3 linked regions of the Canis lupus familiaris genome follow. The protein of the gene in region 3 interacts with the protein of the main gene of each other region in a biochemical or structural test. Links are inferred from orthologs where the notes say so. Each region holds a gene or a part of one and is shown on either strand. Other genes may lie near its edges. The genes, in order: MYLIP, APOE and LDLR.

The links.
Region 1: of the proteins of LDLR (region 3) and MYLIP, one has a biochemical effect on the other in vitro, tested with the Homo sapiens proteins (4 studies listed by BioGRID, with this or other methods). The link is inferred for Canis lupus familiaris from reciprocal best matches to the Homo sapiens genes LDLR and MYLIP.
Region 2: the proteins of LDLR (region 3) and APOE interact in a biophysical measurement, tested with the Homo sapiens proteins (2 studies listed by IntAct). The link is inferred for Canis lupus familiaris from reciprocal best matches to the Homo sapiens genes LDLR and APOE.

What each region holds. Positions count from the first base shown.
Region 1 is NC_049256.1:16,553,781-16,557,930, reverse strand, and holds the start of MYLIP (E3 ubiquitin-protein ligase MYLIP), read right to left. Parts: upstream 2,801-4,150; 5' UTR 2,719-2,800; coding exon 2,632-2,718; intron 1,580-2,631; coding exon 1,389-1,579; intron 1-1,388. UniProt on the Homo sapiens protein: E3 ubiquitin-protein ligase that mediates ubiquitination and subsequent proteasomal degradation of myosin regulatory light chain (MRLC), LDLR, VLDLR and LRP8. Activity depends on E2 enzymes of the UBE2D family.
Region 2 is NC_049222.1:111,234,405-111,238,647, forward strand, and holds the start of APOE (apolipoprotein E), read right to left. Parts: upstream 2,801-4,243; 5' UTR 2,692-2,800; exon of another isoform or gene 2,626-2,691; intron 1,943-2,625; exon of another isoform or gene 1,932-1,942; 5' UTR 1,924-1,931; coding exon 1,881-1,923; intron 1,387-1,880; coding exon 1,176-1,386; intron 862-1,175; coding exon 144-861; 3' UTR 1-143. UniProt on the Homo sapiens protein: APOE is an apolipoprotein, a protein associating with lipid particles, that mainly functions in lipoprotein-mediated lipid transport between organs via the plasma and interstitial fluids.
Region 3 is NC_049241.1:50,529,175-50,532,674, reverse strand, and holds part of LDLR (low-density lipoprotein receptor), read left to right. Parts: coding exon 1-69; intron 70-3,175; coding exon 3,176-3,347; intron 3,348-3,435; coding exon 3,436-3,500.

The sequences.
Region 1 (4,150 bases), on a different chromosome or scaffold from region 3:
CCATGATAAAACTACACAATGAAAAGTCCAATGTGTTGTAATATGTGTGTGTGTGTGTGTGTGTGTCCTCTTCTCTTACTCTACTCCATTATCTTGAAGTACAGAGTGGAAACCTTCACAAGTCTGCTTTAAGGTAAAAAAACAAAAACAAAACACAACCTATTCTGATTAACATAAACAGCTAAAACAGCCTTACTACACATGCAATCATGTGAATATTTTGCAAGAGATTTCCAAGAACACTAAGAATTTGATATACTAGCTTGCCTCAGAAATAAAACTGAACATCTCCCTCACTGTTTAAAGCTCCCTAACCAGGTAGAAGAGACATTTCAAATTCAAATGAACAGTATTTCAAAATATGTTTCCATCAGTCCTTCAGCAGAGGAGAAGAAAAAAAAAAAAAAAAAAGACATGAGAACCCTTAAAGGATTTTGCTCACTTATCATACCTTGAGATTGTCACACATTTTTCATGTGTGGTGAATTTCCAACCCAAAGGATTATGAAAAATATCAGAACTCAGATCCAAAGTTTGTTGTCTTTAAAAGTCGTTTTCTTCCTTTCTTTTTTTTCTTAACATGCCACTATAAGATTCAGGTCTCTTGCATTTCAGCAATAAATACTGAATGCCAGTTTCCTAATTTGGCTCATCCTTGAAAAGTACTACAGACAGTCCAGGGGGAGAAAACATTTTCTGTTTGAAAAAGGCACCCACGTGCTCCAGTTGTCTACCACTGCTGGTGGTTTTCTACAAGTAAAGAGATAAAGTCAAATCTAAACAATCCTGTGTTACAGATGTGTGGGTTCAAGTTCCGTTACACCGGCCCTACAGTGTTTTTCTACTAAGATTTCAAGATGCTTAAAAACTTCCAAAATTCTGCATGAAGTCAGATGGAGCGCTTTGCTACATGTTGTAATTTGACACTAGGCTTAAATTGACCAAGTTTAAGTAACCCAAGAGGAACTGTTTCCTGCTTTCTGTTAGAACCCTCTACAATGACCTGTAGTAACACTGCTGAGGCAGAGGTTACTATCGGGCATTTGATGCGGCTATCAGGAAGTCAGTTGGGTTTTTTAACCTTTTTTTTTTTTCTGCCTTGTGGCACTGATCTCCAGCGTTCACAAGAATCCAGCCCTGCCCCTTGTTGTTTATAAAGACAAAAAAAAAAACCACAAGAGACAGAAAACATACCCCAGGCCAACTAGGCGGTTCCCTCTTCACCTCAACAAAAGGGCTGAGCCGTGGAAAACTTCTCAGTTAGGAACCAACTCACTCTGTGTCAACCACGTTTGCCTGTGAACATCTCTGGGGAGGTGCAACAGCCCTTTCTAAACGGAATCAAAGGTCTATGTATGTGACATTGGTTTATTTCAGTGCCACTTTACCTCGTCTGCTCCTGTAAGATGAGATGAGGTTCCACGAAGAATTTGACTCTCAGTTTAAGCCGGTAAGGGGCTAGCCCATCCATCTGCTGGGAGATCCGATTTCTCAGATTTAGCCATAAACTTTCGCCTTTGCTACCCGTAAACTGCAGTCCAAAGTAATCAACTTCTATAATTCCCAGCCGCCTGCACACCTAGAACAGAAAAGGAGTGCAATACGGATGAGCAAATGGTCCATGTGGTCAAAGCAAACCCAAGGACACCGTCTGGGTGCAAGCTTCCTGCCTGCTTTTCACAACGTTCAACAAAGGTGCTACAATTCCTGCCTTAAGCTGTAAGAACAAAGTTCTAAGGTCCCAGTGTTGTTAAACCAACAGAGAGGCTTTGTGCTTCCTTTAACACCTAGGACACCGTCAACTGCAGTAGGGAGAAAGGAGTCCTCGAGAGTAGCCTTCCAGAAAGGCCGAGGGAGGCAATCTACAGGGTTATTTTCTCTTATTCCAATCACCGGAATCCCCTCCACCAGCACAATCCGCACCGCTGATTTGGCAGATTATCTGGACAATTTTAACCATCTGGACTCCAAGAAACAAACACGGTGAGGAAACACGCCACAAGTGTCAGCTAGGAGGTTTTCCACACAGCTCAGGTCTAGGGGGTTTGAGGGCACAGCGTTCCCCTTGAGACCAGGTTTTCTGTCTGTCATACCAACGTGCAGTTTCGAGCCATTCGTCGTTACTCCTAAGGGGAATGCGTGCTTTCAAGGCGACGGAGTGGGTGACCCAAACCCGCGGCCCTCCGGGGCCCCGCAAACCGGGAGGTGCAGGTGGACGGTGCATTGGAGAAGCAGCAAGAGACAAGAGCGTCGCCTGTCTGCCCAGCAGCCACCTCATCTGGGGGCTCAGGTGGCACCGCCAGACCCCGCGGGGGACCCGACAGGCGGCATCATGCACACACCTGCGGCAGGTGTGCCGGGCCGCCTTCTTCCGGGAAAGTGCGGGGCTGGGGGGGGGGGGGGCAGCCCGCCGCGCGCGTCCCCCCCGCCCCCCCCCCCTGCGCGCTGCCAGCCTGCGGGGACCGCGGGCCCCACGGCCGCGAGGAGGAGGAGGAGGAGGAGGAGGAGGAGGGGGGGGGCGCTCCCCGCCGGGCCGCCGCAGCGCCGTCCGCTCCCCGGGAGGCTCCTGGCGCCGCCGCGAGGCCCCTCGGCCTCTGGGGACCGCCGCCCCCGCCCGGCCCCGGCCGTCACCTGGTTGAGGCAGTCCTCGCCGTTGGCTTTCGCCTCCACCTCCACCTCCATCAGCACCGCGTCCGGCCTCGTCACATAGCACAGCATGGCTGGGGCCGGCGCTGCCGCCGCGGCCGCCTCCTCCTTGTGCGCGCGGGGCTGCCGCCTCGCCGCGGCTCACAGGCAGCCCCGGGCTCGGCGACGCTGGCCCCCGGGAGGCTGCAGCGCCGCAGACCGCCGCCCCGCGCCCCCGCCCTCCGCCCGCGCGCCGGCCGCCCGCCCGCCCGGGTCCCCGCGGCGGCGCCGCACTCCAGCAGCCCGACTGCCTGCGGCGCGCCGGGGACTCCGCTCATATAGTGGCCCCGCCCCCTCCGGCGGCGGCCCCAGCCAATCAGCGGCCGCGCCCCGCCTCCGCCGCCGGGCCAGCCAATAGCGGCGCCCGCTCGGCCGCGGCTGAGTTCCCCCGGGCGGCCCGGGAGGTGGCGGCGTGCGGGCGCGGAGGGCTGCGCGGGGAGGGGGCCCGGGGTCCGGGGCCCGGCCGTCCCCGCCCCCGCCCCCGCCCCCGCCCCCGCCCCCGCCCCCGCCCCCGCCCGCTGCGCGACGCTGCTCCGAGCCGGGCGAGCGGCCCCGGGGCTGGGGCGCCCCTCTGCCTGCCTGGGATCCACCGTTCTCCAGGAGCCTTGGGTCGCTGCGAGAACGCCTACGGGAGGTGAACGTCCAAGGCAAAGGGAGCAACCCCCGAGCCCGGAGCAAACTGCCCCCGCGCCCCCCCGGGGGTTGCCGCCGTGGGCTGTTGGAAGGCGGAAGGATCGCTCCTCATTTTAGACCTCGGCGGTGGGGGAAAAAAAAAATCTGAGTATAAAAGTTTTTCTGTTTTTTGTTTTTTTTTGCAGGGCCACCTGTGTGGCTCAGTGGTTGAGCATTTGCCTTCGGCTCAGGTCGTGGAATCGAATCCCCCAGGGAGCCTGCTCCTCCCTCTGCCTGTGTCTCTGCCGCTCTCTGTCTCTCTCTGCGTCTCTCATGAATGAATAAATAAAATCTTTTTTTTTTTTTTTTTTTTCAGTTGACCACTGAGCTGCATCTAGCGTGGAGCTGGATCTAGCACTTCAGCATAAATCTTCTCCAGAAGCTTCTGTTTACAGGTTGTACTGAATCAAAACACCTTATGGGGCTCCAAGGCCCTCTCTCGTTCATCCTGTCTCGTGCGTTATTCATTCATTAAACGTTAATTGAGCACTTGCTGTGCTGCCGGTCCCTTCTCTCAGGCAACCAGATGTTATCCCCATCTTGAAGGTTAGGGACTTATCTCAGAACCTAACAGGTGGTAACCTCAGCAGTAGCTATTAGTAATTAAAGGCCTCCTAGTCTTCACTCATTTACTACTTGTTCCTTTTTGCCAATGCACGAGTTAGCCTACTCTTTGGTTTCTTTATAGGAGAAATGAGATGCGGGTTTCAGTCTTGGATCCTTGGAAAGCCTGCTTCATCTCTCTGAAGTTCAGTGTTTTCAACAGTAAAATGGAAAGCACAATATCTGCTCT
Region 2 (4,243 bases), on a different chromosome or scaffold from region 3:
TGGAGCTTGGTGAATCTTTATTAAGCTAGGGCCCTTTCAGGAGGACAGCTGGGGGCAGGGGCAGGCCTCCTGGAGGCCGGTGGGAGCAGGCAGGGGGCACGGGAAGGAGTTGGGGGAGGCCCAGCAGGTGGCATGCGGGGCGCTCATGGTTCCTCCACAGGCTTAGAGGTGGGGATGGTGGCCACGGCCGCCTGCACCTTCTCCACCAGCCCGTCCCACTGGCGCTGCATGTCTTCCAGCAGGGGCTCGAACCAGCTCTTGAGGCGCGCCTGGAAGGCCTCGGCCTTTTGGCGTATCTGGTCGGCCTGCTCCTCCATCTTCACCCGCACCTCCTGTATCTGCTCGCGCATCTCCTCCAGGTGGCCGCGGGCCCGGCTGCTCATCTCCTCCAGCTGCCCGCGCAGCTGCTGGCCCAGGGCGTCGGCCCGCTCGAGCAGCGGCTGCGTGGCCAGGGCGCCCACCTTGGCGTTGCGCTCGCGGGCCTGCTCCAGCAGCGGCCAGAGGCGCTCGCGGATGCTGCTCACGCTGCGCTCGGCACCCTCGCGCACGCCGGCCTTGTAGACGGCCAGGCGCCTCTGCAGGTCCTCGGCGTCCCGCAGCACCCGCTTGCGCAGCTTGCGCATGTGGGAGGCGAAGCGCGCCCGCAGCTCCTCGCTGCTCTGGCCCAGCATGGCCTGCAGCTCGCCGCGGTACTGCGTCAGGCGGTTGCGCACGTCCTCCATGTCCGAGCGCAGCCGGGCCTGCGCCGCCTGCAGCTCCTTGGCCACGCGGGCCTGCGTCTCCGAGGTCATGGGGCCCAGCTGCTCGTCCAGCTCCGCCTTGTAGGCCTTCACCTCCTTCATGGTCTCATCCATCAGCGCCCTGGGGTCCGAGAGGGCGGGAGCATGTGTGTGCAGAGCTGGGGGGGGGGGGGCGGGGAACAGGGAGAAAACCCCGTGGTGCGGGAGGGCATGGTGGGGGCAGGGACGGCCAGACGCGGGGATGAAAGGGAAGGGTGCGAGGGATTGAGCTAGCCTGACGGAGGGGTGGCCAGGGGCAGGAGGAGCTGAGAGAGTCAGAGGGGTCCATAGCCAGGAGCTTGAGATGGAAAGAGGGATCGAGACATGGGCAGAGATGCCCAGACTGGCGGACGCTCCAGGAGGAACTGCCCAGCGGGAGTGTCAGGGGGCACTCACGTCAGTTCCTGGGTGACCTGGGTGTTGAGCACGCCCTCTTGCACCTGGTCAGACAGCGTCTGCACCCAGCGCAGGTAATCCCAGAAGCGGGCCAGCGCCGCCTCCCAGGGCTGGCCAGTCTGCCACCCGGCCTCTGGCTCCAGCTCCTGCTGGACCTTCGGCTCCAGCTCGCGCTCCAGCTCCGGCTCCGGCTGCACATCGGCCCAGCATCCTGCACAGAGCAAGTTCGCGGCGGTCAGCCTCCCGGCCCGCTCCAGGCCCGCAGTGCCTCGTATACAGCAGGTGCTCCACATATGCTCCCGCGCTTGCTTTAGAGCACTGGCCGTCAGGGAGCCGGTGGGGGGATGCCCAGTTCACCTGACAGGCACATGTGGAGCATCTGTGTCTGCTCCGTGCAGGGCCGTGTTGCCGTGAGGAATAAACCTACTCACGGCAGACACGAATCTAAGGCTCGCTACCTGCCTGACAACAATGCATTAGGAACTGTTGTTAACTCCCGGTTTAAGGATGGGGAAACTGAGGCCCAGAGAGAGTAAAACAACTGCTCAGAGCCAGTGGATGGGAGGCCTCAGACCTGGGCCTCCCCTCAAGGGGAAGACAGATCAGCTGAAGGTGGGACCCAGGGATGAGAGAAGGGCCCACCCCGGGGTGCAGGTGAGGATGCGAGGAAGGGGCAGGGAACCTGAGCAAGCCCCGCCCACCTACCTGCCAGGAGCGTGACCACCAGCGCAGCCCACAGAACCTTCATCTTCCAGCCTGCGATTGGTCAGTACGAGTGAGGGAGAAATGTCAATCTGGGCAGCCAGTGGGGACCCCTCCCACCCGGAGCCCCGCCCCACCCGCTCGCGGCCCACGGAGTCTTGCCCGCGCCCCCAAGTCTGCATCGGGCCGAATCCAATCACAAACATTTACCGAGCGGTCCCTCCGTTGTTGATTTAACTCCCTCATTGTCTCCTCCTATCTCCCCATCACCAGGTCGGCCTCCGCCGCCCAAATTCCATCCCCCTCTCCCAGGGGTTCAAATTCCACTCACTCTGCCCCGAGTTGCATGAGAGCCCCGACCGTGGCTTCTAAGTTCCAACCTCGCATTCCTCGTCCTCCCTTCACATTCTAAGCCCCAGCTTCACATCTAAACGTCATGTTCCACCCATGAGCTAACTTAATTCTCATTGACAAGTCCTCCGGTGAGCGCTCTGGCCACCTCGCGCCGCCCCTGGGCCTCCAAGCCCTGGAGATCTGAGGGGTCACCCGGGAAGCGCTCAAGGAATGGCAGTGACAATTCGTGGCCTGGCTCATCCGGTTCTTCGAGAGGTCCAGCTGCTCCCCCCGCCCCACCTTCCAGCCAGGACGGGATGCTCTTGCGGCCCACTCCTCCTCCTAGGTCCGACCCCTGCGTGCATCCTCTTCCCCGGCTGCTGCCTCTGCCCCGGTCCTCGCGTCTGACAGTCACCTCGCCCCAGCCCGTCGCTCCCGGGAGCCCTGAGCTGGTCTCTGTGCCCTCAACTCGGTTTCTCACCGGCTCCCGGGAATCCTCCTCCTTCGCCTCCGCTCGGGCTGAGTAGGACTCAGGGATACCAGACTCGTCCAATTATAATGTTCCCCCTGCCCCGCCCACTCCTCCCCGGCCCGGGAGCTGGGCCGGCCCCCAGTCACGAGGTGGGCTGTTCTCCCCCACCCCTTCCCACACCCGGCAGGGGGAAGGAGGGGGGTGGTTGGAGGCCCTGTGATGCCCCTCCACCCCACCCTGGCCCCCACGAAGGGAGGTGACATCTCAGTAACTCAGGCCCCCTCCTCCGCTCGGAGGGGCTAGGCACGCCAGGGAAGGAGCTGTGGCAGACCCCGGCACCCCTTCGCGCCCCTTCTTTTCTCTGATGGATGAATCAAATTTGGAAGAGGGGGCTGGGGGCTGAAATCCTGGGGCAGAGGCGAAGAGAAGGCTGGGGTTTTGGATTCCTGGGTTCCAAGGGGAGGTGGCTGGGGGTGCTGCCTAGACTCCTGGGACTCAGGGAGAGCAGGACCAGAGGCCCAGACCCAGAAGGGATGGGGGGGCACTGTGTAAACCTGGGTTTTAATCCTAGCTTCCCCTTTGGCTGTGACCTCGGGCACAGGCGAGCACCTCTCTGAGTCCCGCTTCGCATTTCCAAAATGCAGATCCAGCCCTCCTCCCTAGGAGGAACATTGTAGGTCCCGGCGCGCCCCCGCAGGATGCCCTCCGCGGGGCTATGGAGCCCTCCGGCTGCCGGGTTAGGACTGCGGACTCTGGGCCGAAACCGGGTTCCTGCCAGCTGCATGACCTTGGGCAAGCGATCGAGCTTCTCTCACCACCCTACTCCTTGCTCCACAAAACCAGGAAAATGGTCCCACTTACACCACCGTTCGGTGATGCAAGCTGCTGAGTGCACGAAATCCCGAGAACTGTTCCTGGGGCAGACGGGGCCAGCTGCTCTGATTGGCCACGTCGAGACCGTCACCTTGCTAGCAGCCCGCTTGGAGTCCTGGCTGTTCCCCAGAGAAGCCCAGGTTGAGGTGGGTGAGGCCACACGGCAAAGTAGGGCCGAGCTTCATGCCTGCTGCCTCAAGGGTGCGTGAACACTGGGTGCCGTGGGGTCCATGGAGGCCCAAAGACTGGTCCCAGGACAGCAGCCAGGCCTGGGCCTGTTTGCTTTGGCCTCAAAGGGCGCCGGCAGGAAATGAGCAGGGGTGGCTTCCCTGGGTGATGAGGGGTCATCTCTGCTCAATGGCCTCCCTCTCCAAAGCCCATTATGTGTGTGGTTTCAGTTCCGGTCTGGAGAGGTCAGGAGTGTGAGTTTACTGGAACCTGAGGTGGGCACAAGCCACACCTCTATGTCCTCCCCGTCTCCGTGCCAAGGAGGCATCTGGAGCCAGCCTGGAGTCAGACTCCAGCGTCCCCCCACCCCAGGCCCAGAAGCCCTTTGCCCCCTGAGGAGTAGCTAATGGATTCTGAAGTCTTTCCAGGTGCTGGAATCCTTCAGAAGCTTCTGAAAGCTCCAACCCTCCAGTCACGAAGAGGTCCCCCGCACATCAGCGCCCCCCCACCCCCAGCCATC
Region 3 (3,500 bases):
GCAGCTACAAGTGCGAGTGTGAGGAGGGCTTCCAGCTGGACCCCCACACCAAGGCCTGCAAGGCTGTGGGTGAGCAAGGGGTGGGACCAGTGGGGCAGGGGTGGGGCTGGTGGGGGGAGAAGGGCACACTGTGTCCTGCAGAGACCTCTGGCAGATGGATGAGCAGGCCAATTAGGAACTTTCTAGGAGGCTGCTCTCACATGTCTTGCTTCCCTGCAGACTCAGGTCAGTTGCATGAGTGCTGGTTTCTAGCCCTCAGCCCTGCCAGTGGCTTCAGGGTACAAGAGGTGAAAAGCCATGGCCTGAAGGGCCTGCACCCCCTCCAGCTGTTCTTTTTTTTTTTTTAAAGGGTGAGTTTTATTTCTATCAATACATCGGTAACATTCACCATTGTTGGGAACCAGCTTTATTTTTTTTAAGTGATATTGATAGATTTATTTTTATTTCTTTTAAAGATTTTATTTATTTATTTATGATAGTCACAGAGAGAGAGAGAGAGAGAGAGAGAGAGGCAGAGACACAGGCAGAGGGAGAAGCAGGCTCCATGCAGGGAGCCCGACATGGGATTCGATCCCGGGTCTCCAGGATCGCGCCCTGGGCCAAAGGCAGGCGCTAAACCGCTGCGCCACCCAGGGATCCCTTGATTTTTTTTTTTTTTTTTTTTAGATTTTATTTATTTATTCAGAGAGAGAGAGAGAGGCAGAGACACAGGCAGAGACACACGCAGAGAGAGAAGCAGGCTCCATGCAGGGAGCCCGACATGGGACTCGATCCCGGGTCTCCAGGATCACGACCCGGGCTGCAGGCGGCGCTAAACCGCTGCGCCACCGGGGCTGCCCCCCCTCCAGCTGTTCTTATTCACTTACAGGAACCTATACCCAAAAAGAAAATTCACTTAATACAGACCAAGGTATAATCTCTCATAAGAAAACCAAATCACAGGTCAGCCCGGGTGGCTTAGCGGTTTAGCACTGCCTTCAGCCCAGGGTGTGATCCTGGAGACCCGGGATTGAGTCCCACGTCAGGCTCTCTGTATGGAGCCTGCTTCTCCCTCTGCCTGTGTCTCTGCCTCTCTCTCTGTGTCTCTCATGAATAAATAAATAAAGTATTAAAAAAAACAAAACCTGCAGCAATAGTTGAGGTTCTTTTCTACCTAATCTAAGATTATAGGGTGCTTGGGTGGCTTAGTTGGTGAAGCATCTTCCTTTGGCTTGGGTGATGATCCCGGGGTCCTGGGATCGAGCCCACATTGGGCTCCCTGCTCAGTGGGGAGTCTGCTCCTCTGTCTCCCTCTGCCCCTCCCCTTGCTTGTGCTCTCTCTCTCTCTCTCTCTTTCTCAAATAAATAAAAACAAACAAACTTAAGATTAGAACGGCACTCATGCGCTGATTCTCAGAATCACCAAATCAAGAGATCCCATGTGTTTGGAGGCATAGCCAAACTTCCCTTTGCTTTGTGTCATGTCATTACCCACCTGTCTGATTCTAATGAGGTACAAGTTTGCAGAAATATTTTAGATCAACTTCTGTTTCCTCAAGGTCTGTTTTAGCCTTGAAGTCTTTCTCCTGTGTTATCACCCCTTTTGTGACGGTTCCTTGGCCTCCCTTGCTCATACCCCCACACATTTCCCAGTTTTGGGGAAAACCAAAGACTGAGCTCATGAAACCCTCTAGGATTTGAAGTTTCACTTTCCTTCCAATATCTATGGGCTGATGTCTATACAGGTGCCTTTCAGGGGGTAAGGGGCACATGGTGTCGTGGGAAGGGGTATTCTGAGCGAGGTCCATTGTACACATGGTTAGCTTGTTGGTGAATATTGGCATCATGGTTAACAGCAGAGTCCCCAGGGACAGGGCAATGTGTGTTCAAATTCCAGCTCTGCCACTTACTAGCTGGTATGACCTTGGGCTAGTCCCTTCTCCTCTCTGAGCTTCAATCCCCTCACATACAATGGGAGTTTGACAGTAGCCCTGGTCTCATAGGAGTGTGAGGACCAATGAGGGAAAATATAATAGGAAAAGCACTTAAGCAGAATTTCCTGCCCTAAGGAATAGCTCTATACACATTAGCTGTTAATGTTTCTTCTTCTTCTTCTTCTTTTTTTAAAGATTATTTATTTATTTGAGAGAGAGAGAGCAAGCATGAACGGGGTGGAGCAGAGGGAGAGGGAGAAACAGGCTCCCCACTGAGCAGGGAGCCTGACGCAGGGTTCCATCACAGAATCCTGAGATCATGACCTGAACTGAAGGCAGACACTTAACCGACTGAGCCACCTAGATGCCCTTCGTTTCTTCATCTTTACGTTCCAAAATGTAAAATGCTGGGGCCCCAGTGTGGATTTTATTACCAATGTAGGCTTTATTATCATTCAAGTATGGCAAGGCCAACCAATCAGGAGACGGCCACCATTGAAATGATCGGTTGTTACTCACAGTTCCCAAGAGGAGGGCCATGGCAGCCAGGCGGCCAGCTGGGGAAGCACCAGGGTCAGTCAGGAGGTGGAGGAAGAGAAGGGGGATCACATGGGCCAGAGCCTCCCTTATGGTTTCCTTGGGCATGAGGTGAAGCAGGGTGAGCAAGCTCAGGACTAGGTAGTCTGAATAATCTCAGCGGGCTCTGGGGCAGAGCGGCTGCCCCTGGTTGTCTGGTACCTGCCCTGTGGTGACTGAAGCAGGCGGAGGGGTTGCGACCCAGAGCGTGAGAGCCCAGTGGAGGGGTGGCGGACATGGGCTGGAGAGTTTGCTTTCAAGGCAAGTCATGAACCATCCCTAGGAGCTGGTTGGCCCTGGGAGGGGCTGTCCTTTCAGGCTCTGCAAGGCCTCGGATGTCAGAGCATCAGAACCACATGGTCTTGTTTTGTTTTTAGATTTTATGTATTTATTCATGAGAGACACAGAGACAGAGGCAGAAATATAGGCAGAGGAGAAGCAGCCTCCATTTGGGGAGTCTGATGCGTGACTTGATTTCTGGGAACCAGAGATCACAACCTGAGCCAAAGGCAGACACTGAACCACTGAGCCACCCAGGTGCCCCTGGAGCCACATGGTTTATACACCAACGAGGCATTTCCCATGGCATCCTGGGTGTCTCCCCTGGTTCAGCCAGACCCCCCAAGGGTGACAAGCTCGAGTCAGGGGGCCTTCTGCTCCCCTGAGCATCCTTCCTGTGTCCCCAGGCAACATCGCCTACCTCTTTTTCACCAATCGCCATGAGGTGAGGAAGATGACTCTGGACCGCACCGAATATACCAGCCTCATCCCAAACTTGAAGAACGTCGTCGCCCTGGACACAGAGGTGGCCAGCAACAGAATTTACTGGTCCGACCTGTCCCAAAGGAAGATCTACAGGTGAGCCTTGGAGCTCCACCCAGCCCCCTAACCCAGGTGAAACAGGCCCCTCGTACTGACGTTCTGCTCCCCCTTCTCCCACTGACAGCACCCAAATCGACAGAGCCCCCAGCTTCTCCTCCTATGACACCGTCATCAGCGAGGACCTCCAGG